Arabidopsis thaliana: one gene and its partners. The protein of the gene in region 3 interacts with the protein of the main gene of each other region in a pairwise test. Each region holds a gene or a part of one and is shown on either strand. Other genes may lie near its edges.

Region 1 (7,285 bases), 3.8 Mb from region 3:
AAGATGGTGTTGGTAAAATAACGTATGCTTGTGGGTTCTGCAAGAAAATGGGACATAATGTAAGAACCTGTCCAAGTAAACAAGTTTCAGACAGTGATTCTTGTTTAGAGCAAGAAGGTTCTTGAACCTGTTTATTTGGTTAGGCTTGGTTTTGCTATTGAAGCTGAAATAACCAATCACTGACAAGTCCTTTTTAGCGGATGGATATTTCGGGTTTATAATCGGACCAATCACTTGAGTCCCGATTGGTCTTTTTTGAACTATCTAAACTCAAACAAAAACTGAAGTGAGTTTGACCGCTTTTGGTTTCGGGTTATGACCGCATTCGTTTACGTGCAAGTATATATACTTGTTGGGTTGATTTTTCTTGAATACGACCTGAATTGGTACAACGGACCCATGCAAAGAAAGACAATCGAGCCTAGAAATTTCTGAACAATTATCGACTTATCCATATAAATGCTATAAACACCTAATATCTCATCCATATCCACATTTAACACTTTGTTTTTTCTAACATTAGTATGCTACTATTCTTCGATGCCTTAATATCGGATGGTTATTATTAGGTAGTTATATTTAGTCTGAACACTAAATTTTATAATCATTACCCAAAAAGTAATTAGTCACGTTTTTTACTTGATCTAAATTTACAAATGTACAATGTCTTTACGCGCTAAAAATAACAATTGTGGACAAAAAAAACTTAGCAGACAAAATTGACCACAAGTGATAATATCTAAATTTGGATTTGTTCAACGACACAACACGTAACGCGTCTTCCCGTATCTTGCGTATGACTCCTTGAGAGCCTCTCTTTAATTGTCCTATAAATATAAGTCTCTCTTGCAAGACTTTTGAAACCACAACAAACACAAAAATCAAAAGGGGTCATTTACTATCTTTTAAGAGACGACATATATAGTTCTCGACCAAGAAAAGAAAAGGGGGTGACCTGAGTTCTTCAACACATAACATAATGGCCGGAGTTTTCAAAACGGTTACGTTTCTTGTTTTGGTTTTCGCTGCCGTTGTTGTCTTCGCGGAGGACTACGATGTTGGTGATGATACGGAATGGACGAGACCTATGGACCCCGAGTTCTATACTACTTGGGCTACCGGTAAAACTTTCCGTGTAGGCGACGAGCTCGGTGAGTTTTATTGTTCTTATAGCTGAAATATGTCTTTGTTTTTCTTGTTCTTATAACAGTCATAGTTATGGGATCGTGCATGGATCATGTCGGTGTTGTTCTGTCTTTCTTTCTATATTCTTATGAACATATTTTAGCTAAAAAAGGGATTAATTGAGTTTCCACCGACTGATGTTGATATTCTTATTACAGAATTTGATTTCGCTGCTGGGAGGCATGATGTGGCAGTTGTATCAGAAGCTGCATTTGAAAACTGTGAGAAAGAGAAACCCATTAGCCACATGACCGTTCCTCCGGTCAAAATTATGCTAAACACCACTGGACCACAATACTTTATCTGCACCGTCGGTGACCATTGTCGTTTTGGTCAAAAACTTTCCATCACTGTAGTTGCTGCTGGTGCAACTGGAGGTGCTACTCCTGGTGCCGGTGCTACCCCAGCACCTGGATCAACCCCAAGTACTGGAGGAACCACTCCTCCCACTGCGGGTGGGACCACAACACCTTCAGGCTCTAGCGGAACCACTACTCCAGCTGGAAATGCCGCTTCCTCATTAGGTGGTGCTACTTTTCTGGTCGCTTTTGTTTCTGCTGTTGTTGCTCTCTTTTGAGTCACACTCGAAACCTAGTTATGTATTTGTTTTACCTTACTCTCCTTATTTAAATAGTCATGTATTTGATTATTTGTGAGAATAAGGACTTGTTTTCAAGTCATTATAAACGTCTTATACTTGTGATTAGTATTGAGTTTCAATATATGATTATTCGGTTGCAAAATAAAGAGTGGGTTTCAATATCATTGAGATTACTACTATATATTACCATATTTCATGAAAATTAGTCATCTTCTTCATCCAATTTGTCTAGTTTTCATGTATAATTAGACAAAATTTGCCTTCTCAATATTTTCAATCAACGAGTAAACATTACCTGATTGTGAACCGAAGTTAGAATAATATTAAAAAGACATAGGTTATCTACTAATTCAATATACCAACAATATGGTATTTTTGTTTCAGTGGATACGTTTCTCACCTGAATTCACAACTTTTTTTTTTTTTTTTTTTTTTTTTTGTGTGTGGAGATTTTTAATCTCTGGCTTTATAGTTTGATAATCGAGAAAATGCCAAAAAGTATGCCCGTACTAAGTACAAAACATAAGACCACAAAATTCCACAATAAATTGACACGTGTCTGATCGACGTGAATCAAGAAAACCATAAACTTGTTTTGTTTTCAACAACCAAAGACATTTTCCCCATAACAATGTAAGCATGATAAAGTCTAATGGTTATACCAAGGTCTTTGGTAATTACACTGCTCCTTTTTCTTTTTTTTTTTTCCTTTTTCTAAACCATCTGAATTTAACTTTATTTTATTTACTTCATTTGTCAATGTGATATCTTCAACTTTCAATAATTTAATATGTTTGATTTTTTAGTGTAGCTACGATATTCGATAAGACCTATATATGACATAGAGTTCTTGAAATAGCAAGTCTTGGTTTTGCCAAAGTAAGAACCTGTAAAAATAAAAGCAATTCTTTACAGAGATTTTTGGTTTTAAATCTACAAAGTTGCAAAACTCGTTGCTTTCATTTGATTTAATGGTTAGTTTTCGAGATAGACAAAATGGGAAATTTATTTGCAAAATGATTTAGTTGCAAAATCATTGGGACACTATCTTATTTCACGTTTTATATAATTGATGACATAATAAGATAGTTTCCCAAAGTAATTAATTGATGATATATGTGGTTGGATAAGAAATTATGGTATTATCATGTTTGCCTCTCAAATTTAAATTTAATTAATTATATACATACACGAGTAAGCTAAATAAAAGTTTGACCACATTTCATATGAAGAATTTTATCTTTCCAGATATCTAGAATTTGTTTTCTCTACACAGTTCATTGAAGAAAACATAGTACGGAAGAGACCAGAGGTTAATTAAACGACACTTTAACCTATCACGAGAGAGACTGAGATGATCAAATCAAATGAAAGAAAATAAACATCAATCACATGCAAAGAGTGTTCATTAAGCAAAATCACTAAGTTTGTTTTTACTTTATTTTATTACGTTACTTCAAGTTTTTTTTTTATCTTCTTGGTACTGTAAAAAAAGGAGAGAAAATAGAGTTGGCTATGTGTAATAAGCGAACCAAAAGCAAGCCTTCCATGACTGTGCCCTCAAGAAAGTAGCTTTGTTTTCAATCCCAAACTGTCAAAGTCTCTCTTCACCTCAAGATTAATCAAAACATTTCTCTCTCTATCTCATCAATGTTACTTTAAAACCAATGCTCCTCTTCTTGTTCTTCATATAAACCACATATCCTCTCCTCCATATCTTAACAATTTCATAGCAAACCCTAAAATTGAGAAAGAGATAGAGAGAGAAAGATGGGTAGAGGAAAGATCGAGATAAAGAGGATAGAGAACGCAAACAACAGAGTGGTGACGTTCTCAAAGAGGAGGAATGGATTGGTGAAGAAGGCTAAAGAGATCACAGTTCTTTGTGATGCAAAAGTTGCCCTCATAATCTTTGCAAGTAATGGTAAGATGATTGATTACTGTTGTCCTTCCATGGATCTTGGTGCTATGTTGGACCAATACCAGAAGTTATCTGGCAAGAAACTATGGGATGCTAAGCATGAGGTAATTTTGCTCTCTTTTTAATCTAAAGTTTCTTTGTCTCAAAAATATTCCATGGCCAAAATCATGTAATAAGTTTTCAATTTCTTTACCAAAAACATGTCAAAAGACCCTTGAATCTTTAACCCTAGATGCAGATCTACTATAGTGTTTTGTCTCAAAAACATATATTCTGAGCTAGATATCATGAAATTGGTTATTTAATTTTCTTTTCCTAAAATATGTCAAAGAGAAAGAAAAATACTCTAACCCTAGATGCAGATCTACAAAGGTTTCTTTGTGTATGTAGCCTAACATGCGTCTTTATTGATTTTCTTGTACTCAACAAGACATGGAGCCACAAAACATGGAAGTTATTCTTTTCTTTTGTTCCTGCTTAATTTGTATAATCTAGAGTATATCTAACCAACTGTGTTTTGAAACCATCAAGACCAAATCTTATGCGAATCAGATCCGTAGTTTATGGAGTTATTAATTGAGAGAAAAATCTGGGATGTGATATGTATCTGGGAATGAGAATTTCTGATTAGTACACTGATTTTACGTTTCTGGCTTTCAAAACTAATTGAAAACTTGAAAATTGCTTTTGAGTTTTGAGTATCCTTTTTAAATTAAATTTTGATGCAAATATTATATGTATTATTAATTAGCTCTGACAAATGTAGGTTTAGTTCTCACAAATGAGATATATCTCTATAGGGTAATAAGCATACAGAGGCTTTTATACCATTTAAGTCACTGCCTAGTAGTATTTGTGCATGTATATCTGTGTATGCTTTTACATATACTAATATCAATATATATACATATATGTGTGTCAGTGTGTGTGTGTGTGTTATATGCTTTGCATGAAACATGAACATAGAGAGACTTGTCATGGATTGCTTCTTTGTATATCTATATTTATGTTTAGTTTGTACAGATTACTAAGTATTTTTTTTGTTTGATCTAAATTCTTAAAACCTTTATTGCTCATCTAATACATATTTTTTGTCTCCAGAACCTTAGCAATGAGATTGATAGGATCAAGAAAGAGAATGATAGCTTACAACTGGAGCTCAGGTCATTATTCTTCACCCTTCATTGCCATATCTTTACCCTAGTATAGTATATATATAAAACATTTGATTATAATAATGTTGAAATATCAAATTGAGAAGTTCATGGAAATTGTGACTACAGGCATTTGAAGGGAGAAGATATACAGTCTCTCAACTTGAAAAATCTGATGGCTGTCGAGCACGCCATTGAACATGGCCTCGACAAAGTCCGAGACCACCAGGTATGTATACATTTCTACATACATTCATACACATGAATATATTTAACTTCTTATTTGGTCTGCTTGGCACAGATGGAGATCCTTATATCAAAGAGGAGAAATGTGAGCATATAACTAATCTTATAGTACTCTACTTCTTAGCTTTCGGATTGAAATATGTATTAATGGTTGCATCATTCTTTCTTAACAGGAGAAGATGATGGCGGAGGAGCAACGGCAACTCACTTTCCAGCTGGTATACATATAATGAATCTTCATGCATTTATAAGTTTTAATAATGATTTGGTTTGAAACTATTAGTATGTTTATGTAAAGATATGGTTTTTGGAAATTGCAGCAACAACAGGAGATGGCTATAGCAAGCAACGCAAGAGGAATGATGATGAGAGATCATGATGGGCAGTTTGGATATAGAGTGCAACCGATTCAGCCAAATCTTCAGGAAAAGATTATGTCTTTGGTCATCGATTGATCATCGAGATTTTATAATCTCATCCTGATCAACTCCTATCTATAATATCGTGGTCTTTAGTTTGTCTTTATCAATCTGTGTGTCTTAATCTCGAGCAACATATATACTCGCTATCAGACTTTTTACTTAAGCTATATGTGTGTTGTTTGCTTATGACCTCTATGTATTGGTTGTGTTGTGTGCTTAAACGTTTCGAACTAATTGATCTGTGTGAAACTTATTATTCTGTGATAAGCTATTTGTGATAAAGAAGAAGATCCTTTTCTCTTTCTAAAAGTTAGAATTGTTCTCTAACTAATTTGGAGAGAAAAAAAAAAGAAAAAAAATTGGAGTAAAATAAAAAGGTAAACGTAAAATGTTATACAATATTTTGTCTGGATACCCTTCAATAATTTTACTTTGAATAAATATGTCTTCATACAAAGAGGTTATGGTCGTAAAAATTAAAAAAATGTGGTTGAACTTTATATCTTCCCCCTTCAAAAGCCTGTATTAACAACCTTTTTTCTTAAGAAACTAAAATCTAAAAAATGTAGAAATCAGCCTTGGCCGCTCTTCTTTAAGGCTAAAGAGAATGGTGTTTATGTAGGTTATTGGGTTCTGACTAGTGACTATATTTAACGATATATGGGCCCTTATCCATTGTTGACCCATAAATACGTTTTAGTTAACATGTACAAAGACAACTTTGTAATCACTCAACCAATATTCTGCAGTTTAATCTTGCTTTCATAAAATTTCAATATTCTTTAGCAAAAAAAAAAAAAAAAAAAAACAATTTCAATATTGATGGTGACAGAGAAAATTCATCCTCAAAACATTGCTCCTAATTAATTGATATATGAGACGTGTAGAGGTTTGAAAATTTACCATGGCTTTTCGTGATAAATTGGTGACACAGAAAATCGCCAAAATAGTGATGGTAACTTGGTCAGGTGGCTACCTCTTAACCTCCAAATGACTGATTGGAGAGGAAATATTTTGGTTAATCCCCTAACAAAATGATGATGAATAATTTTAAAAATACAGTTTTAACAAAATAAAAATAAAATTATGAATATGTGTGATGATAAACATTAATAACCTGACAAACCCTTATCCGCCAACTAATGTATAATGAATGGATAAACCCATAGGGTCCAATTGGACAACAACTTTCTAACTTTTTGTTCTCTCAAAATAAAATAAAGACAAGTTGATTTGCTTTCCCAATCACTTTCTGAACCAAATCACTTGCTGCAAGCGAATCATGAATCGCCGAACATTTCGTTTTCTGTTATTATGAGTATAACAATGAAAACAAAGAAACAACAGAAAGAAAAAATCAAATAATTCGTTTTCGTGTAGGCGTGTAGCACTCGCTCTCTCTATTTAAGATTTATTTTCATACAATGAGTTTTTTTTTTTCTAGAAAACCATGGGCACTTGTGGGGCTGTAGTGGGGGCATGCAGCCGCACATTGCTCAATATCTGTTGAAGCAAGTTGATCTGCGAAGATAATATTGCCACTTGGTATATGAACCTTCTGTCCATTGCACCGCACCCAATTGATTTTACACTTTTCACAATTCTATTCAAATTATATTCTTAAGTTTTGATACATTTCTTCTTAGGTAAAAGTTACAGAAGAACCTTTAAACCAATACTTGGGTTGGGAGTTAGGACATTGACATAGATTAGTTATAACCATATAAATTATATAGATGACAATCCCATTTATTAG
Region 2 (5,676 bases), on a different chromosome or scaffold from region 3:
AACAAAAAGGTACAGAGACATAATGACACATCTTTCTTTGAGATTACAAAGACAAAATGTGTAATCTTTTAAATGGCTAAGAAGGAGCAAGAAGGGTCACACTTCTTAATGTGTCAGTGATTTTCATCTGCAGCATAGAGATGTCAGAAAAGCTATGTCGTCGAGTCACTAGATCAAATGTGACCACATGATGGAGAAGCCCATCCACTTGTGAAGCCCAAGTGAGAAAATCAAAAATATGTGTGAATCATAGAAAACGTGAAGAGGGAAGAGAGATAAAACCACAACCATACAAATGAATGACAAAGCTATCCAGAATCTCATCTTCTTTGCCTCCAACTCAGCAATTCATATTTTCCTATATTACAACTCTCTGCCTCTTCTGCTTACATCATACAACAAGCTTCTCTCTCTGGTAGCCATGGCTTCGGCTACTTTCTCTGTGGCCAAACCATCTCTTCAGGTTTTGTTTCATCTTCCTAACCACATTATCTGATTGCCCTTCACACAAGTTTTATCATCATCTCATAAATACTCTCATGTTTTACTTTTTCAGGGTTTTTCTGAGTTCTCAGGACTTCGAAACTCCTCTGCTCTTCCCTTTGCCAAGAGATCTTCTTCCGATGAGTTTGTTTCCTTCGTCAGTTTCCAAACTTCTGCAGTGAGTTCCTTTTTCACCCACTCCTCTCTATTGCTCCTGTGTTATATATCTTATGGTGCAATCTTGTAAACTCAAGAGCTGTTTCTTGTGTCTAATGCCACCATTGTAGATCTATCCATGATGAACAAGGCTGCATGGCATGATCAGCCATGATTAACCATATACGTTTTTTTTTTCTGTCTCTGTGTTGTAGATGAGAAGCAATGGTGGATACAGGAAAGGGGTGACCGAGGCCAAGATAAAGGTAGCCATCAATGGGTTCGGTAGGATTGGTAGGAACTTCTTGAGGTGTTGGCATGGTCGTAAGGACTCTCCTCTTGATGTCGTTGTCATTAACGACACTGGTGGTGTTAAACAAGCATCACATCTCCTCAAATACGACTCAACTCTTGGAATCTTTGACGCTGATGTCAAACCTTCAGGAGACTCAGCTCTCTCTGTTGATGGAAAGATCATCAAGATTGTATCTGATCGTAACCCATCTAATCTCCCCTGGGGGTAAGTTAAAACAACACTTCTCATATCATTTGAATTGAATCAACCCAGTTAGATCTAAACCTGGTGATGATGTTTAGGGAACTAGGCATTGACTTAGTTATCGAAGGAACCGGAGTGTTTGTTGACAGAGACGGTGCTGGGAAGCACCTTCAGGCTGGAGCCAAGAAGGTTCTTATCACTGCACCTGGAAAAGGTGACATCCCAACTTATGTCGTTGGTGTCAATGCTGAACTTTACAGCCATGAAGATACGATCATCAGCAATGCGTCTTGTACTACTAACTGTCTCGCTCCATTCGTCAAGGTTCTTGACCAGAAATTTGGTAAGCGTCTCATTGAAAGTCAAATGTTGCTATGTTGCAATCTTGTAAAAATCTGAGTAATATTGTGTTGTGTGTTAAACTTGTTAGGGATCATAAAGGGTACAATGACAACTACTCACTCATACACTGGTGACCAAAGGTTGTTAGATGCGAGCCACCGTGATCTAAGGAGAGCAAGAGCAGCAGCTTTGAACATTGTTCCAACATCTACAGGAGCAGCCAAAGCTGTGGCTCTTGTGCTTCCTAACCTCAAAGGAAAACTTAACGGAATTGCATTGCGTGTGCCAACTCCAAACGTTTCAGTGGTTGACTTAGTCGTGCAAGTCTCCAAGAAAACTTTTGCTGAAGAAGTCAATGCTGCTTTCAGAGATGCAGCTGAGAAAGAGCTTAAAGGTATCCTTGACGTCTGTGATGAGCCTCTTGTCTCTGTTGACTTCAGGTGCTCTGATGTATCCTCCACTATTGATTCTTCCCTCACAATGGTTATGGGAGATGATATGGTTAAAGTGATTGCTTGGTATGACAATGAATGGGGTTACTCACAGAGAGTCGTTGATTTGGCTGACATTGTTGCCAATAACTGGAAGTGAAGACTCAACAACCTCTTGATGTCTGCTCCATTATTTTTTACTGTTACATGATTCGGAATGTATAATTGTAGTTCCTGAGTTTATTATGTATTTGTGCTCTATAATTTATAGTAATAAACTTGATTCAAACATATTACATCCTCTGCTTAATACACAACTCTGGTTTGGGAATGCATTTGACACTAAAGAAAGATACAATACTTTTTATATTACATAAATTGAAGGATCGGTAATACAAGCTCACATAAGAAACTGTGGAGCATCGTCGTTGACATCTTTGAGAAAACTCTGAAGATAATTCCCAATGTAGTCATACTCAAAGCAGAGAGGTTCGTCGCTGAGAACTGAGCCAAACTTCATATGGTCTGCATTGTCATGTTCACCGACTTTGTCCTGATGACCGAATAAACTGTTTGACATATCATTAGGTAAAGAAATCTCTTTGCTTTGGCCAACATGATCACCATCATTATAACAATGTGAGAAAGTGTTAGTGAGATTGGTAGAAGACTCTTGTTTTTGAGAAAAAGAAGAAGAGATAGGATCAGCAACAAAATGGTTGTTTTCAAAAGGCTGATCTTGAAGAAGACAGAGACTAGAAGATCCCCAAGTCATATGAGGCTCCAAAGACTGTTGTGGATGTCTTTCTAAAGAGGTGTTTTCAGTGTAGAAGAAGTTTGTTGTAGCTAGAGAGCCGCTGATGGATCGAGCAGCAACGTCATATGCAAAAGCAGCTTCTTCGGCTGTATCAAACGTTCCAAGCCAATGTCTTTCTTTAGTAAAAGGGTTTCTGATTTCAGCTGCATATCTTCCCCATGGACGTCTCCTCACTCCAAGGTACTTCCCTTCTTGTAACTTCTTCTCTTCTTTGCTTTTTCTCTTGTTACTTGATTTCAACATGTTCACAATATTCAGAGATCAATGTTTCTCTCTCTTTAAGTCTCTTGAGCTTTGAGGTTCCTTATGCTGCTATATAAACTCTATATTGAGTAAGAAGAGCAAAAGAGTGTGTGAACTTGATTGATGCCTTTTTGGATTTGGCATTAAATTTAAGGAAACTGTTGGGAGTTCAAAAATTTAACTCCAAAGACTTATTTCTCCTTCGTAAACTGTGTCAGCAGAAACAAGGAAGTGTTTCATATTTTCTCTATTTTTGTCCTTTTGCTTAATATTTTCCACACTTTAGTCTGTGAGGTGATTCATATTAAGGAATGTATGGAGCAAAGCCAAGTTGTGACAAGGACATTGTCATTATAGACTCAGACAAAAACTGTACAAATGTCAAGAAACCTAACTAAACATGTGACATAAGCTTAGGGATTTGGATTCTTAAGTGTATTCAGTTGATTTTGAAGTCAAGCCTTAAGCATTGATTTGTGTGTGATTAGGTAATTTCTTCTATGTCCTTTGTCTTTTTGCATTTGGTGTCCCAATTGCATATAAAGACAACTCTATCTTTATCACTTCAAACAGACAGATATCAAGATTCAAGACAGATGATTTGAGATTATATCATGTCACATGTGTTGCAGTCACTTTACTTCTCATTTTTTCAATTTGTTTACGTTAGCTAAAGAATATGAAAAACTAGTTAACTACAAAACAGTACCAAGGATCTATTTGACTCTCCTCCTCTAGCTTTGAAGAATCATGCACTGTCTCTTCCTCTGTTCTCAATCTTCTTTCATCTTCCATTACTCTCAAAAACTCTTCAAGTGCTCTCTGCATCCACTCATACCGACAAAGCTCCAACGCTTCTTTAACAGTCAACTGCACATTTTCGAGTAATCTCAGAGTTAAAACATTGTACTTACTTATATGAATAACTACACATTTGAATCTTAAGCTTTACCCATCTTCGTTCACGATTCTTTCGCTCTGGCCAATCCTCGAGTTCTTCGGTAACTTTTAATGCAAACATATATCCTTTACATCCACCTAAACATTCATCCTCCACTGTGCTACTTTTGCTTCTAAATTCCCAAACTCCTAAAGGAAGTTCCTATAAACAAAAACATGACCAAAACACATCTAATTCAAAAAACTTTAAAATAGCTTTCTTAGTGTTTTGTTTAATAAAGGTGTAAACTTACTCTAAGTATTCCTTTAACTCCTGCTTCTTCAATGGCTTCACGAGAAGCAGCTTCAAGAACAGTCTCATCATCTTCCCATCCTCCCTGATAATAATATACACAACAAATTAACATGAGCAATTACAAATGATAGTACAGAGGATGATTTTTCAATTCAAAAAAAGACCTTTGGGAAGACAAGATCATGACGATTAGGAGATGAAACCATAAGAACTTCAAGTTTGTTTACAAAGTCAACACCTGAGTCTTCTTCAGTTTCGTCAGCTTTCATCAGCCTATAAGGAATGCATCTGTTCATAATGTATAGAGAAACAAACAACAAGAAAATCAACAATTTTGTTTTCTGATTTTTGGGGTTTCTTGAAAATTTTCAAGATTTGCAAGAAACAAAAAAACAAAACAAAATGATTTTTTGTTGTGTAAGTTGTTGGTACCCAGAAACGAGACGGAAGTTGTTGTCGTAACGTTGACGATCTCGTCCTGTCCGAGAAGAAAGAACCGACATTTGATGAATCTGCCAACACAAAAAAAATCAAAAGGGATTGAGACAACAGAAACAGAGAATGCTACTTTCTTGAAAAGCCCTGTTCTTGTTTGTATGAAACATGTTGATCATAGCCTAGCTTTTATGACGAATCCATATTCTTGTTTTGAAAATAAACAAATTTTCCAGAATTAACGAATCTCAAAAGTCACAAAAAAATAAAATCGTTTATATGAATTTTTTTGTTTGTTAAATAACTTGCTATTTTTGCGGAGAAGAATGAGGAGTTGTACCAACGAGCATTCACTGCTAACTATCACCTGTCTCTCTATATAATCAGTTTTAATATTTATACATGAAAATAAATAAATTATTTTTGTTAGAGCTCAAAAACAAGAAGAACCTTAAGAACGCAAATTCGAAGCAAGTCACTAAAAGGATCTGATTCTGTATTTGACTTATTACTGTTTTATCTCACGAGTATTCTCCACTATAGAGAAGAACTATTCGATAATTGATTCTATAAAACTTATCTTGAGACGTGTTTTAAACAAGACTGCTGAAAACCGAATTCATATAGGTTCAAACTTTCAATTCGTTTCTAGTGTCTTTTTTTTTTTTTTTTGTTGGGTCTTGGTTTTAGTTTTAGCCAATCAGAATTGTTTGTTAGCAAATCTTGTATTTTTTTCGTTTTTGCTAAAATCACTCAAATTAGAGAATAAATAAATTGTTTCTGAAAAAAATGTATTTCCATTTCCTTAGTCGAAATTGGCTTTTATTTCCTTTTCTATTATTTTAATTTAAACATAAATTTTGTGGGATGATAAACTTCCTTTTTCATAACCGGCTAATCCTTATCAATCCTTAACAGAGTAGAATTTGGAGATAAGTGTGTGTATAAAAAGACAAAACCAATTCACTCGTATCAATAAGAAGAAGAAAAACAATGGTCATGGATGAAGAAAAGCAAGCGATTGTATCATCATCATCATCATCACAAAGAAAGAGAAGATACAAGAAGCTAATGA
Region 3 (5,851 bases):
GTCGGGTCGGAGATTCCCGGGTGGGCTTTCTTTCTCATACGAGTAAGAGAACTAGAGAGAGAAAAACGGACACTTGAAATAAATCAGGCCCATTAGTAACTTTTCACATAATTGGGCCTATATTTATGGGCCGTTAAAAATATTGATATTTAATGGTGTGAAGTACATACATTTTCACCGGGATCACAGTTTATTCATAAAATTAGAAAGTTGTTTGATCATGTAAGAATTATCTCGAATCACATTGAAATATTTCTGTAGTAAAACGAATTAGATTTGAAAATATATGAATCATACCCATGGCTATTTAGTGACTATTAATGCATTGTTTGAGCTAAATAATTTGGTTAGACGTTAAGTTCTTGCAATTATCTCTAGGATGTGAATGAATGTATAACTATGTGGCAAAAAGAAAGAAAATATATTAAATGATTTCGTTAGCAAAATGGATATAGCTAGGTTTCCATGAATCTCACTGACATTTCATTGTGTCTTTATTAAAACCTATGAATGTGAGGAGACACAAAAGTCAGCGGAAGTATCCATGAGTGAAGTGAACAAGGAGCATAGGTTTCCTTGAATTAACCTCTCTGCTACTTTTCTGAGATTTTCTGACCAACAAGTGTGGAGCAAAGCTCTGGTGGTTTAATGCTTGTTTGTAGTCAAAGGTTTTCTTTTTATTATTGGGAAGGTAAAAAGAGATCTTGCAACTGTTTTAGTTGAACTTCTATTCATTAATTCGAAGACAAAACGAGCAAGTACATTTTCTCTGCACCATCCTCTTTATAATATGTCTCGATATATACTCTCTTTCTGGAGTAGAGTATCTGTATACCTTATCGGTTTGTTGTAATTTGAGATTACTTTATATTACAAAACATCATTTTATGGGATGATTGTCGTAATTTTCATTATGCTAAACGTTACTATAGCTAAACATTTTTCGTTAACATTTTTACAACAAGTATAATCGGATACGTTTAGTCTGTTAGACTTTTTAGTTTTCAGGTGATGTTTAATCGGATACTAACAAGTATAATCTAATAGACTAAACGTACGGATATTATTTTCATAACAACTTTTTTCTTTTTGGATTTTTCGTTGCTAGTTGTGAAGCTATATATTAAAAAAAAAGCCCTAAAGCTTATTGTAATTTAGGAATTCTTAAAGCTTATTCTAATCATAACAAAACGATTTTCAATATGTATAGGTATTAACGTTCAAAGTGAGGTATGTACGTAAAAAGATGAAAATGAAGCAATAGAGTACATTCATATTATATGCTCTAAAATATAGTACTTCACAAATATATGCGTTGTGTGTATACAAAGACAAAAGTCCACAGTAATGATAACACTATTTAAATAGGGTTCTTTGATGGCGTCATGGTTCTTATGCCCGAAAAATGCCCGGCCAAAACTTGTATACAACCAAACTCCAAATCAAGAACTTATTATTATATACGAAATGATAACATAATATTAAATATATGGTGGTACACAACTCAAGCTAACCGTTATGATTATTCCACAACCTTTTCACGGTCAACAACAATATATTATATATCCTAACAAACCCTTATTTCGTATCCATTTTTATTATATATAAACACTTTCCATAATTGCACCATTACTCACACATTATAGCATAATTTAGTTACTACTAATGGAAATGTCATCTTGTCTAGATTAATTCTCCTACTCCTCTTCCCCCACGGCCGAAACTTGGCGGTGGTGGCGGTGAAACCCATGACGTCGTCACCGCCTGAGAAGCTTGATCTTGCGGCGGCGGAGGAGTATATCCGGTATTATTATTGAGTAGCCGGATCTGCCGTTTCAAGAACTTGACATAGCGTATAGCTTCATCGAGCATTGAAGCCGTATCCATTTTAGTGCCACCTGGCACGAGTCTCTGAAGAATTCTGATCCTCTCACTGATTCTCTCACGGCGATGTCTAGCCGCCACACTCTGAGGGTCGTCGGAGATCCTCACGTTACGGCGTTTGGGTTTCTTGACGGTTGCTGGGTCGATGTCAACCGATTGCATGGCTGCGATCTTGTACATCATTTCCTTCATAGCACCGAGTTCCTCTAGAGGTTCTTCTTCGTCTTCGTCGTCTTCTTGATCTCCGGAGAGAAGAGTGGTGGTTGTGAGGGAAGAAGAGAGAGGAGGGAAATGAGAAGAAGAGAAAGGATTGAAGATATGGAGCTGTGTGTACTGGTCCATGGCCATACCGATTGGATCATTATTATGTTGATGATGATGATCATCATTCTTGTTGTTGTTGTTGCTGCTGTTGATGATGTTGTTCCAAGTGTAATTTTGGAAGAGAGATGGGTTCATATTATAATTATTCATAATTTTTGTTTGTTTGGTTCGTAAAAATTTTAATGCTTGAGGCGATGCTTATATGTATATATATATGTGTGTGTGTGAGCATATATATATATTAAAGGAAAAAAAGAAAGGTGATCATATGATGAGGGGTTAGGTTGGTGATGCAATTAAGGATTTTGGTTCGGAGAAAAAATAAAGAATAATTTTATTTATATGTATCTTTTCAATAAGTGGACGTCACTAGTCGTTACCAAAGAAAAAGATTAAATTGTATATAGTTGAATAAGAAGTTTTTTTATGCTCCGAAAATGTTTATAAACGTTGTAGCACTTTTGTATACATATAGTTGGCATAATCGCTTTTTTTTTTTTTTTTTTAATGAGCAGCTCCAGTTGACTAATGAGATAGTTTTGAGTTGGCTAGGGTTTCCCTCTCCCACATTGAGACTTGAATTTAGGGTATATCGAGAAAGTGGCTTTCACCAAAGTAATAAACTAATAACCACTAGCTATAAGAATGTGAATTACTTTATATGAACATGAGTTTCTCTTTGATTCACAAAAGATGTCACCACTTGTGTGCTCTTATTCTGACTTCTCAATTTACAATCCCTTTAATTATCTCCTTCTCTCTTCACAAAACCCATTCACTAAAATAGGAAATCTTGATAAATTTTCTCTCATTCTCTTGTCTCTTCACGAAATAGCACATTTTGTTGATCCTATACTCTTATCCCGATCAACGGTCGTGATTTTCTCTCTCCCCTCGATGGAGTCCAATATTGAATGTAAATTGTGTGTGAAACTCGCAATGTTATATATTATTATAAAACAAATGATCAACTTGCTTTTTTCCACAAAGCTATTCTATAACTTGCGACGTGATTAAAGGTTTATAAGGATAACAAACATCAAATCACTCGCATGGGGACACCTTAGCTTCTTCAACATTTGGGTGTTATCCATGATTGTCATTAATAAGAAAGACGTGTATCATCGTCGTGACTCGTTTATATAAGACGGTGGTGAATATATCATTTTCCATGAAGCAATTTCTGCTTTTTATTAACAAAGTTCACATCTACGTAACAACGTTCTTGTATACAAGTGTATAAAACAAACACAAATCCGTAAAATACACGAAATTTTATGAGACTTCAAAAGAGGCAAATTTATATACGTTGTTTCGATCCGTTTATACAAAAATCAGACGGTTCTGATTTAATGTGACAAGTTTCTTATGTCATATGCCTCAACACAAAAGCAATGTATAAATACACATGTATATGTACATATATGAGATATAAGCGTATATTTTGCACATATGTTATGATTTGGTCTGCATTATAATCATACAAATTGCGCATGCAGGCTGCAATCATGCATTATAGGGTTACTTCTTTGGTATTAATCCATTGTTCACTGTATATTATATTCTTATTAAATCCACCCAACTGCCAACTACATGTATGAACATCTACTTATACACACACAAGTTTTGGAAATTAATTTGATTCGATATAAGTATACACTATATAGTTTTCGCATTTATAGCGGTTTAAAATGAAAACCGCAATTAAAAGAGTAACTGTGTATTTAATATAATAGCTAGCATTCGATCATATTATTAAAGTATATAACAGTCATGAGCAAGACTTATAATATAATATAGTTTAGTTAAAAGAAGTTTTATTTTGCCATGTATTTTATATAATACAAATTCGGATGGATTGGAGCAATGAACAATTTTTTTATTGCCTGATCATAAATTTAGAGTGTTTTTTAATTAAGTCTATTAATATTTTTCATACATGTGAAAGTTAAATGATTCATTTTGGACAGCTAGTTTCTAAATTTCCACAAAAACATGTAAAATAATAGAATATATAAGACACATAAATTTAATTTACTTCTTAAATCTATGATTTCATTTAGAATACATATAGTATTTTATTATTACTTTTTCCTTTTTGGTTGTATGTACATTTCTGCAACTGTGATGTGAAATATCATAATGGTTTATAAAGCTTGTATAATATGTTTCGAAATGTATACCGAGTTGTAATAAACAAAAATTGAATGCAATTGATTTACTAAATCATGTTTTCTTTTAAGCAAATTATCACTAGCTTATCTATTATGATATGGTTTAAACATGTGACAGCTCAAGCGGCCCCCATTTCGTCTGTGTATAAAGTGTAACCGTAAACCCTAACTAGATGAATCTAGTGTAAATGTATATAGTACATATACACGTGAGTGGGTGAAATAACTATGCAACATTTTCCGATGAAGATTGAATCATAAAATCTGACAATCTCCATTATTTTCATCCAAATTATCGCGTACATAAAAAAGCATTAAATAACTATATATATATATAGGCCATACATATATAACTATTTTTTTCAGCAATTGTGCTTCTTCCTCCTTTTTATTAATAGCGATACAATCTTCCGTCTTTGTGCGTTACGATTCCCAAAGAACCACACCCTCATTTCCTCAGAGTCTGGTCTCTTACAGCGACTTCTCTTTTTCTTTCTTTTTTGGATTTCCTCTTTCTGCTTCCACCATGGAGAAGAACAAACAAAGAAAAACTCAGTGTTGTTTCTTTCCAAATTTGAACACTTTGTAATCTAGTGATATCACTTTATCTTACTCCAATTTCACCGGTTAGGTTTGGTCATTAAAAATGATCAAACCAAAAAAGAAAATGTATAAGTAATCACCAGTTCACCACTTGGCTTAATTCATCCAAAAATAAAATTTCAAATTGGCTATATATCAAGTTAAGAAAAATAAAGCTAGACGAAAAAGGTAGGATATATATGCGTTATTGTATTGATTTCTATAACTACGAGGGTAGATTATGTGTTATAATATTAGTAATGATGCTAAGTTTTTTAAAATGGAGTAGCAAAAAAAAAAAACATGTTTATTTTTTCTCTTTCGCGAGAGGATCTAAAAAGTCTACAAAAAAGTGATTACAAGGCATGGGAAGCTGCAGTGAAGAAAAGTGAAGAAGTCTCTTGTTTGGTCCGAAAGTGTTAGTGTTATGGAAAACTCTTTAATGAGTTTTTCACTTTATTTTTCTTTCTCTTTTGTTTTTGAGGGGAAGAATATTACACATATGAAATTGACTTCGAGGGTTTTCATTTTCTTGGATTATTGCAGGTACAAACGTATTTCCAGTATCCATGCATAGACGCATAATGCCGTATTGTAGCTACATACACGAGAAGTAGACAGTAGACTCATTTAACAAAAAACCAAATAGACTCAATCAATTATATGTTTTGATGAATATTTTAACATTCAACGATTAATATATCCACTAATGAACATTCTTTTTTTTCCAACATCCACTGATCAACATTTTGTTCGACGATAAGCATTTTTCTATAAAAAGGAATTCCTTAGCTCAGGTTTATGAGCATGCAGGGTAATTGAATCATCGTGAGTGGGGACAGTGAAAGAACAGTTTTTTTTTTTTTTCAAGTAAAGAACAATTTAGC
Region 4 (6,683 bases), on a different chromosome or scaffold from region 3:
CTCCTCTCAATCTTGGTATGATTGCGTCATATTACTACATAAATTACACCACCATTGAGCGATTCAGTTCTCTCTTGGCTTCCAAGACCAAGATGAAGGGTCTTCTTGAGATCTTGACTTCAGCTTCGGAGTATGACTTGATTCCTATACGTCCTGGTGAAGAGGACGCAGTTCGGAGACTCATCAATCACCAGAGGTTCTCTTTTCAAAACCCAAGATGCACAGACCCTCGTGTGAAGACAAGCGCACTTCTTCAGGCGCATTTCTCAAGGCAAAAAATCAGCGGGAACCTTGTAATGGATCAGTGTGAGGTCCTTTTATCAGCAACAAGGCTTCTTCAAGCAATGGTCGATGTGATATCGAGCAATGGCTGTCTGAATCTTGCTCTTTTAGCTATGGAAGTAAGCCAGATGGTGACTCAAGGCATGTGGGATCGAGACTCCATGCTTCTGCAGCTTCCTCACTTCACAAAGGACTTAGCCAAAAGGTGCCATGAGAATCCGGGGAATAACATTGAAACCATATTTGATCTTGTGGAAATGGAAGATGACAAACGCCAAGAGCTTCTCCAAATGTCAGACGCTCAGCTTCTTGACATTGCCAGATTCTGCAACCGCTTCCCCAACATTGACCTTACATATGAGATTGTGGGAAGTAACGAGGTAAGCCCTGGAAAAGATATCACATTGCAGGTATTACTGGAGAGAGACATGGAGGGAAGGACCGAGGTGGGACCTGTGGACGCGCCAAGATATCCTAAGACTAAAGAAGAAGGTTGGTGGCTAGTCGTTGGAGAAGCCAAGACGAACCAGTTGATGGCCATCAAGAGAATCTCCCTGCAACGGAAGGCGCAGGTGAAGCTGGAGTTTGCAGTACCAACTGAAACAGGAGAGAAGTCGTATACACTCTACTTCATGTGCGATTCTTACTTGGGTTGTGACCAGGAGTATTCTTTCACTGTTGATGTCAAAGATTCTGATGCCGCAGATCACATGGAAGAATGATTTATGTTTTCTGGTTAGTTTTCGCGTCTTTCTTTGTTTTCTGGTCATAATTTTCGCATTTAGCTACTGTGGTCGATCTTACCTTTTGTAATATCAACATTTGCTTACTAGATTCTGCATCGTAGCTGGAGTTTGCAGTACCAACTGAACCAGGAGAGAAGTCGTATACACTCTACTTCATGTGTGATTCTTACTTTGGTTGTGACCAGGAGTAGTCTTACTGGTGATATCAAAGATTCTGACGCTGCAGATCACATGGAAGAATAATTTATGTTTTCTGCTTAGTTTTCGAGTCTTTCTTTGTTCTTCTGGTCATAATTTTCGCATTTAGCTACCGTAGTTGATCTTACCTTTTGTAGTACAACATTTGATTAGTAGATTCTGCATTGTAATAATGAAATAAGAACAAATCGAGTACTATTTTATTACTTAGAATTTTGTTGGAAGCAGATGCTTTTCTCGAGAGCTTACATAGACAATTTGGTCTGTTTCGGCTAAAAAATATTCAGACATGACATTGTTTCTTTCTTGTCCTTCTCCCTGCTTTTTAGTCCTATCTACTACACACTTTGTTGCGCCCTATATTGACTTCTTCTCCTTGTTCATACACTTACAGTTAGCTCTGTTGTCGTTTAAAATCTGTGTAAAACCAACAGAAGACTAAATCAATTCAACAGAAGACTAAACAGGCCCCTTTGTTTTTTTTCCACAATGATCAGGAACTTTACCTTATACTGTCTTTGTAAATCTTTGATGTAATCCACAGCTAAATCCAACATATCCGAAGTGTTGGTTTGCTGTTAAAACATAAAGAAAACAACATCATTTAACAATTTGTTTATGATCAAAAGTCATTACAAGGAAGTTCCTGAAAACTGTACCTTGTCCATGTTAGGAACAAGCTCTTGTAACTTCCTCATTCGCTCGCTTATCCGCGTTCTTCTTACCTGACACAATTGACAAGATTTCTTAGGAAAGGCTTTCTGAAAACAAACTAGATTCTGCTTCAAATGGACTTCCATTGATATATGTAAAGATGGCCTTAACTAGGTGAAGTTACCCGTTCAGCGATGCTTCGAGGATGTGTAGCGCAACCACGTTTGGCTCTGATTTTACAAGGAACAGAATCTTGTAGCTGAAGATACTTATCCACTGAAACCATGTCCGAGGCTGTCGATGATGACTTTGGTAGGCTCAAATGATGCGACAGTAACTGCATACGATTCCCGGACTCTCCGTTCTGTAGAAACCCATCAAAAACATCATTAGAAACCACTCCAAGAAATCAACTCCACTTTCAGCTACTGATCAATAACCAAAACAAACCGGTTAGATAACCGAGTTACCTGAGCTCCGAGAAACAATTTTCCATCGTCCTCGGCTTCTCTTTTAAGTGAGGATAAGTTATCAATAAAGCTGGATGGATCATTCCAATGGCTATATGGAAAATTAGTTTCGGGTGCGATTTCAGGTATTTGAGAAAGCATTCCAAGTGAAGAAGGTGGCCTTGAAGAGAGACTGCAATGGCGTCTTAATCCATTGGAATTAGATGGACTCTCTTCATCTTCTTCGTAATTCATCAAATTCCTCATTGAACCATAACCTGCAAATTTGTAAGTATATAGTAAACACTTATTAGATTTGTTGAGTCCAAAGTGCTTTAACTCTATGGTTGACAAAATCAAATCAGATCTTGTCTTAAAATTATTCTCAAGGAACGTAAAACATTCAAAAATCTTGAAGCAAGTGTTAAAACATTCAAAAAAGTTGAATCAAGAAGTACCAAAAACACTTCTGTTATAAATGAAAAAAATATTTCAGACTAAAAAAAGGGGGAAAAACTTTGTAGCAGAGAGCAAAACGGTACCGTTTTGGTCAGAGAGATTAGTAAACATTCCGGCTGGAGAGCTGCTTTGACGGAGAAGATTAGATTCAACTGGTTTGGTGTGATGATTATTGATACCGAGAAACTGATCCAAACCAACCGAGTTCATTATCCCTTTACTCTGCCTCGGGTAATGCGGCGGCAAACCCAGAAAACTCGACGGCTCAAGCTGCGGCGGTGGCGGCAGAGTGGCGGCGTATGAAACAGAGGTGTTCGTTAACGAAACCGGAGACTTATCCTCGAATTTAGGTGAACCCAGATCTCCGTTAACGCCATTAGAGGTCACGAATCTTGAAAGCAACCTATCGGAGTCGAAACCAATCTTGTCGTCGTCAACAAAAGCGGCGAGAACAGAGCTCGGAGCTGATCTAAAACGAAGAAGACCCGACCCGGTGGGATTCGGGTCGTAGAGATGATTATTTGAATCCATTAATCGAATCAATATGTAAAAAAAATGCAACGAAATTTCCTCTGTTTTCTCTTCTTGTAAGCTCTGTCTCGTGACGTTTCAGGAAGAACAAATTTGTAGAAAACCAAATCTTAATAGCTTTCCAACGTCAACCGTTGATATGAATATAAGCTTTTTCTTCTCCCTTGTTAAGTTCTTGTTTGTGTCACTTTTCCCGGGAAAACAAAACTTGAGCTTGAGATGTGAGCAGGTGTAGGATTTGGGAAATATAAAACCTTGAAGGGGAAGTAAAGGAGGTTTCGTCTGAAGATGAAGAAGAGAGAAAGAAGAACGGTGAAGTCTGATGAGAGGAAGAGAGAGATGAAGGTGATGATGAATATTTATCGTCTTTTTGCTTCTGAGTTTCTGCGTCCAACTTTAATTGCTGAAGATAGCGGCGGATCCAAAAGCTTTTTTACCAAAAATTTATTAAAATTGAAAAAGACGTCGTTTTAAGCCGCCTGTGAGGCTGAGTCACGGAAAATGCCTTTTCATATTTTTTTTCAAGAACAATTTTACTACTATTTCTTAAGAATATGAATTTTTCTATATAAAATGTAATTGAGAAAAGAGTAGATTTTAGATGAAAATACATACTTTATACTTGTATACAGGAAGAGCATGTGAAGTAAATTACCTACCTAATCAATTTTGACGAGTATACTGATGGACCCGTGACAAATTATTATTTCTCATCTTATAATCTACATGTATCCATAATATCATTTTATTACGATTCTTGTTTTTTTCTTTGTCTCTGTAAAATATGTGATGTTTCTACCCTAATTTATAACACACGAACAAAAATATCTGTATGTTGGGGACAATGAAATCGCTGGTAGGCCATACGATTACAATTTACAACAAGATGCACCAATCATAAATATTAGTTTCTTTTTTTTTATTGGGTCGGTAGTTTAACAACCAATGTAACAATTTAACACTAGATTCGAAATTTAACGACGTAAGGAAATAATTTTAATACGTTTTAGGGGACATGGATCTAATATGTCATGGTTACGTTACTTCAAATTTGTTTTGTTTAAGTACTCATTATTCAGGAACCAATAATGATGTTAGAGTACTTCATTCATAGTCAGCAATTGTACTGACAAAATCTAATATCCATTCGCATGGTACAACTTAGAATTTAAGAATTAAAGATTGTCCCATCAGAGTATAAAAGTCAGAAGTTAGATGTTAATATAGTTAGACACGAAAACGTACTTGAAATAGAAAGAAAGAAAATTGTCGGAAGTACAGTTTGTTTGTAATAAAAGAGAGATCAAAACTGTTTGAACTTTTTAACCAATATTTACGTACGTACGTAGCTTTCCAAATCCGATTTTAAGGTTCACGGAACCTATACAGTGTACAGCTTACGACACGATCGTGACGGAGGACGTTGACGCCGTTATCACCCATTGGGAACGTAAGTTGGCGACTACTATAATCTGTGTGACATACGGTACACCTGCATGAAAAAGTAAGATTTGAAACTAAACTCTAAAACCTTAGTGGTCGATGGATTATACAGTGACGTGACTCTATGTGAACGATATACACCAGATTACGTCTCCTCTAAATCTCTTTAAATCTTATCTTAGTTTAAACTTTAATAATTCACGAGCGCCGTCTTTTTAAAATCTAAATCCAATAAAGCGACTTGTTCTCTATGGAGTTTTTAGCTATTCAGCCCTTTAATGGAAATTGATTAATTTTTATATTTTCAAAAACCTATTCGTATCGTATCAGTCTGAATTTTTAGCTTTTAGTACAATGTAAGAATTGAAAAAAGAAACCGAACCATTGAGAAGATTGGGGTGGTGAATTTGCTTTGAATGTGAATTTATTCTCTATGGAGTTATTAGCTGTTTCATTCCCTTTTTTATATGGGGACTACGGTTTATGTGCCTGAGGCTCTATATATATTGCATATAGATTGATGACATTGACATAGGCTAAGCTACATAGTCTTAAAACTTCGAGCTGTTTAATAATTAATCAACAAGAAGACAAAATTGTATGTACAAAGCACATGCACATACATAATACTATTACTATTTAAGCATAGGTAATTAATATTTAAAAGTTGTACATACTATCTCGAAACTAGCTATATACTGATGATACTTTGTTTTATATCACTAACGAATGGGCAAACATAAAAAATATAACTCAAAACTACATTGATCTAATTCAACTGAATCAAAATTTCGTATCACCGTGCAATGAAAAGTATGTTTAATCATACGTAACAAATGTTTTTGTTCAAATCAAACCAGTATTTCTTCAAAGGAATCCATATATACCAATATATGATTAGTTATCTATAACAACTATTTTCCAAATCATCACACACAAGTTTTCTCAAGTGCTCTCACTTCAATGCAGGTCATAATCTCTTAGTTTTTTTTTTTTTTGTAAAGACGTGCATAAAACAAACTCTTCATTGCTGAAGTTCTTTTTCGAAGAAAATCAGTGGTCTCAACAATTTTCTTCTAAATGCAATGGATACAACGGGAAAAACACCCAAAAAAAAAAGAAAAAAAAAAAGAGATTGAAATTAAAGAAGCAAATATCAAGTGCCATTTATAAAGGTTTGGCCTAAAGAAATGTGGAAAATTAGAAAGCAAATCCCGTCCGTGGCTATGTGGATGGGAACATGGACACGTGAGACCCCATTAGTTTCTCAATGTTGTTGTGTACATTTTGTTTTTTATACTGTTTGATAGTAGTATAAATATAAAAAACAAAACGATTCCCATCAATTTATTTAAAAATCTTTTTATGTTCTTAAGAAAAAATAGATTACATTGATAGAAGTGGGGAATCGTGGTCCAGCTTTGGCTTTTATAATGTCAACAAGCTCAAAAAGGGGGCTTCACTATTTTTATTTTCTTCCAAAAAGAAACTTCTATATTAAGCAAGTGTTTCTCTCCTTTTTTATTTAATTTTCTCGAGTGGGCTGCTAAATTTGGAACTAATCAATCGTGCTGGGGGCAAGATATGTTTTGCCATGAAGATCTCTCTCTTTTTGGTTTATAAAAGTCATACTTTTTGTTGTCAATTTGAACAAAGGACCAACGGTGGGATCTGATCATGTTTGATGTTTCTGACAAAAAATTATATTCGAAATAGATTTGATTTTGCCTTTCTTTCTCATTTCTTATGTTATTGCTAACGATCGGTTCAAATTTATTTCATTTCACATCCCCCATGCGCAAGAGATATGCAATCATGCGATTGAGTATAATCTATTTTCCCGTTTTCATAATATTTAATTAGAACAGGCTCACAAAAGAGCTATTGAGTCTCTTTTTTTTTTTTTTGTTAACCATGATCT

What was found.
Region 1: the proteins of HEC3 (region 3) and PI interact in a two-hybrid assay, tested with the Arabidopsis thaliana proteins (one large-scale study listed by BioGRID).
Region 2: the proteins of HEC3 (region 3) and AT1G12890 interact in a two-hybrid assay, tested with the Arabidopsis thaliana proteins (one large-scale study listed by BioGRID).
Region 4: the proteins of HEC3 (region 3) and FBH4 interact in a two-hybrid assay, tested with the Arabidopsis thaliana proteins (one large-scale study listed by BioGRID).

The regions. Positions count from the first base shown.
Region 1 is NC_003076.8:6,825,647-6,832,931, forward strand, and holds PI (K-box region and MADS-box transcription factor family protein), read left to right. Parts: upstream 1-3,257; 5' UTR 3,258-3,556; coding exon 3,557-3,811; intron 3,812-4,808; coding exon 4,809-4,870; intron 4,871-4,990; coding exon 4,991-5,090; coding exon of another isoform or gene 5,091-5,126; exon of another isoform or gene 5,127-5,162; coding exon 5,163-5,192; intron 5,193-5,280; coding exon 5,281-5,325; intron 5,326-5,427; coding exon 5,428-5,562; 3' UTR 5,563-5,869; downstream 5,870-7,285. Other genes in the region: AT5G20220 (zinc knuckle (CCHC-type) family protein), read left to right, coding at 1-125; BCB (blue-copper-binding protein), read left to right, coding at 980-1,151, 1,344-1,762. UniProt on the Arabidopsis thaliana protein: Probable transcription factor involved in the genetic control of flower development. Is required for normal development of petals and stamens in the wild-type flower.
Region 2 is NC_003070.9:4,389,029-4,394,704, reverse strand, and holds AT1G12890 (Integrase-type DNA-binding superfamily protein), read right to left. Parts: upstream 3,035-5,676; 5' UTR 2,972-3,034; coding exon 2,312-2,971; downstream 1-2,311. Other genes in the region: GAPA-2 (glyceraldehyde 3-phosphate dehydrogenase A subunit 2), read left to right, coding at 296-463, 557-661, 855-1,159, 1,237-1,481, 1,569-2,071; NUDT12 (nudix hydrolase homolog 12), read right to left, coding at 3,659-3,841, 3,924-4,073, 4,165-4,248, 4,331-4,454, 4,599-4,669; AT1G12870 (F-box and associated interaction domains-containing protein), read left to right, coding at 5,595-5,676.
Region 3 is NC_003076.8:3,024,718-3,030,568, forward strand, and holds HEC3 (basic helix-loop-helix (bHLH) DNA-binding superfamily protein), read right to left. Parts: upstream 2,398-5,851; 5' UTR 2,359-2,397; coding exon 1,684-2,358; 3' UTR 1,392-1,683; downstream 1-1,391. UniProt on the Arabidopsis thaliana protein: Required for the female reproductive tract development and fertility.
Region 4 is NC_003071.7:17,609,845-17,616,527, forward strand, and holds FBH4 (basic helix-loop-helix (bHLH) DNA-binding superfamily protein), read right to left. Parts: upstream 3,748-6,683; 5' UTR 3,320-3,747; coding exon 2,872-3,319; intron 2,608-2,871; coding exon 2,351-2,607; intron 2,245-2,350; coding exon 2,065-2,244; coding exon of another isoform or gene 2,047-2,064; exon of another isoform or gene 1,952-2,046; coding exon 1,886-1,951; intron 1,802-1,885; coding exon 1,670-1,801; downstream 1-1,669. Other genes in the region: AT2G42270 (U5 small nuclear ribonucleoprotein helicase), read left to right, coding at 1-1,004.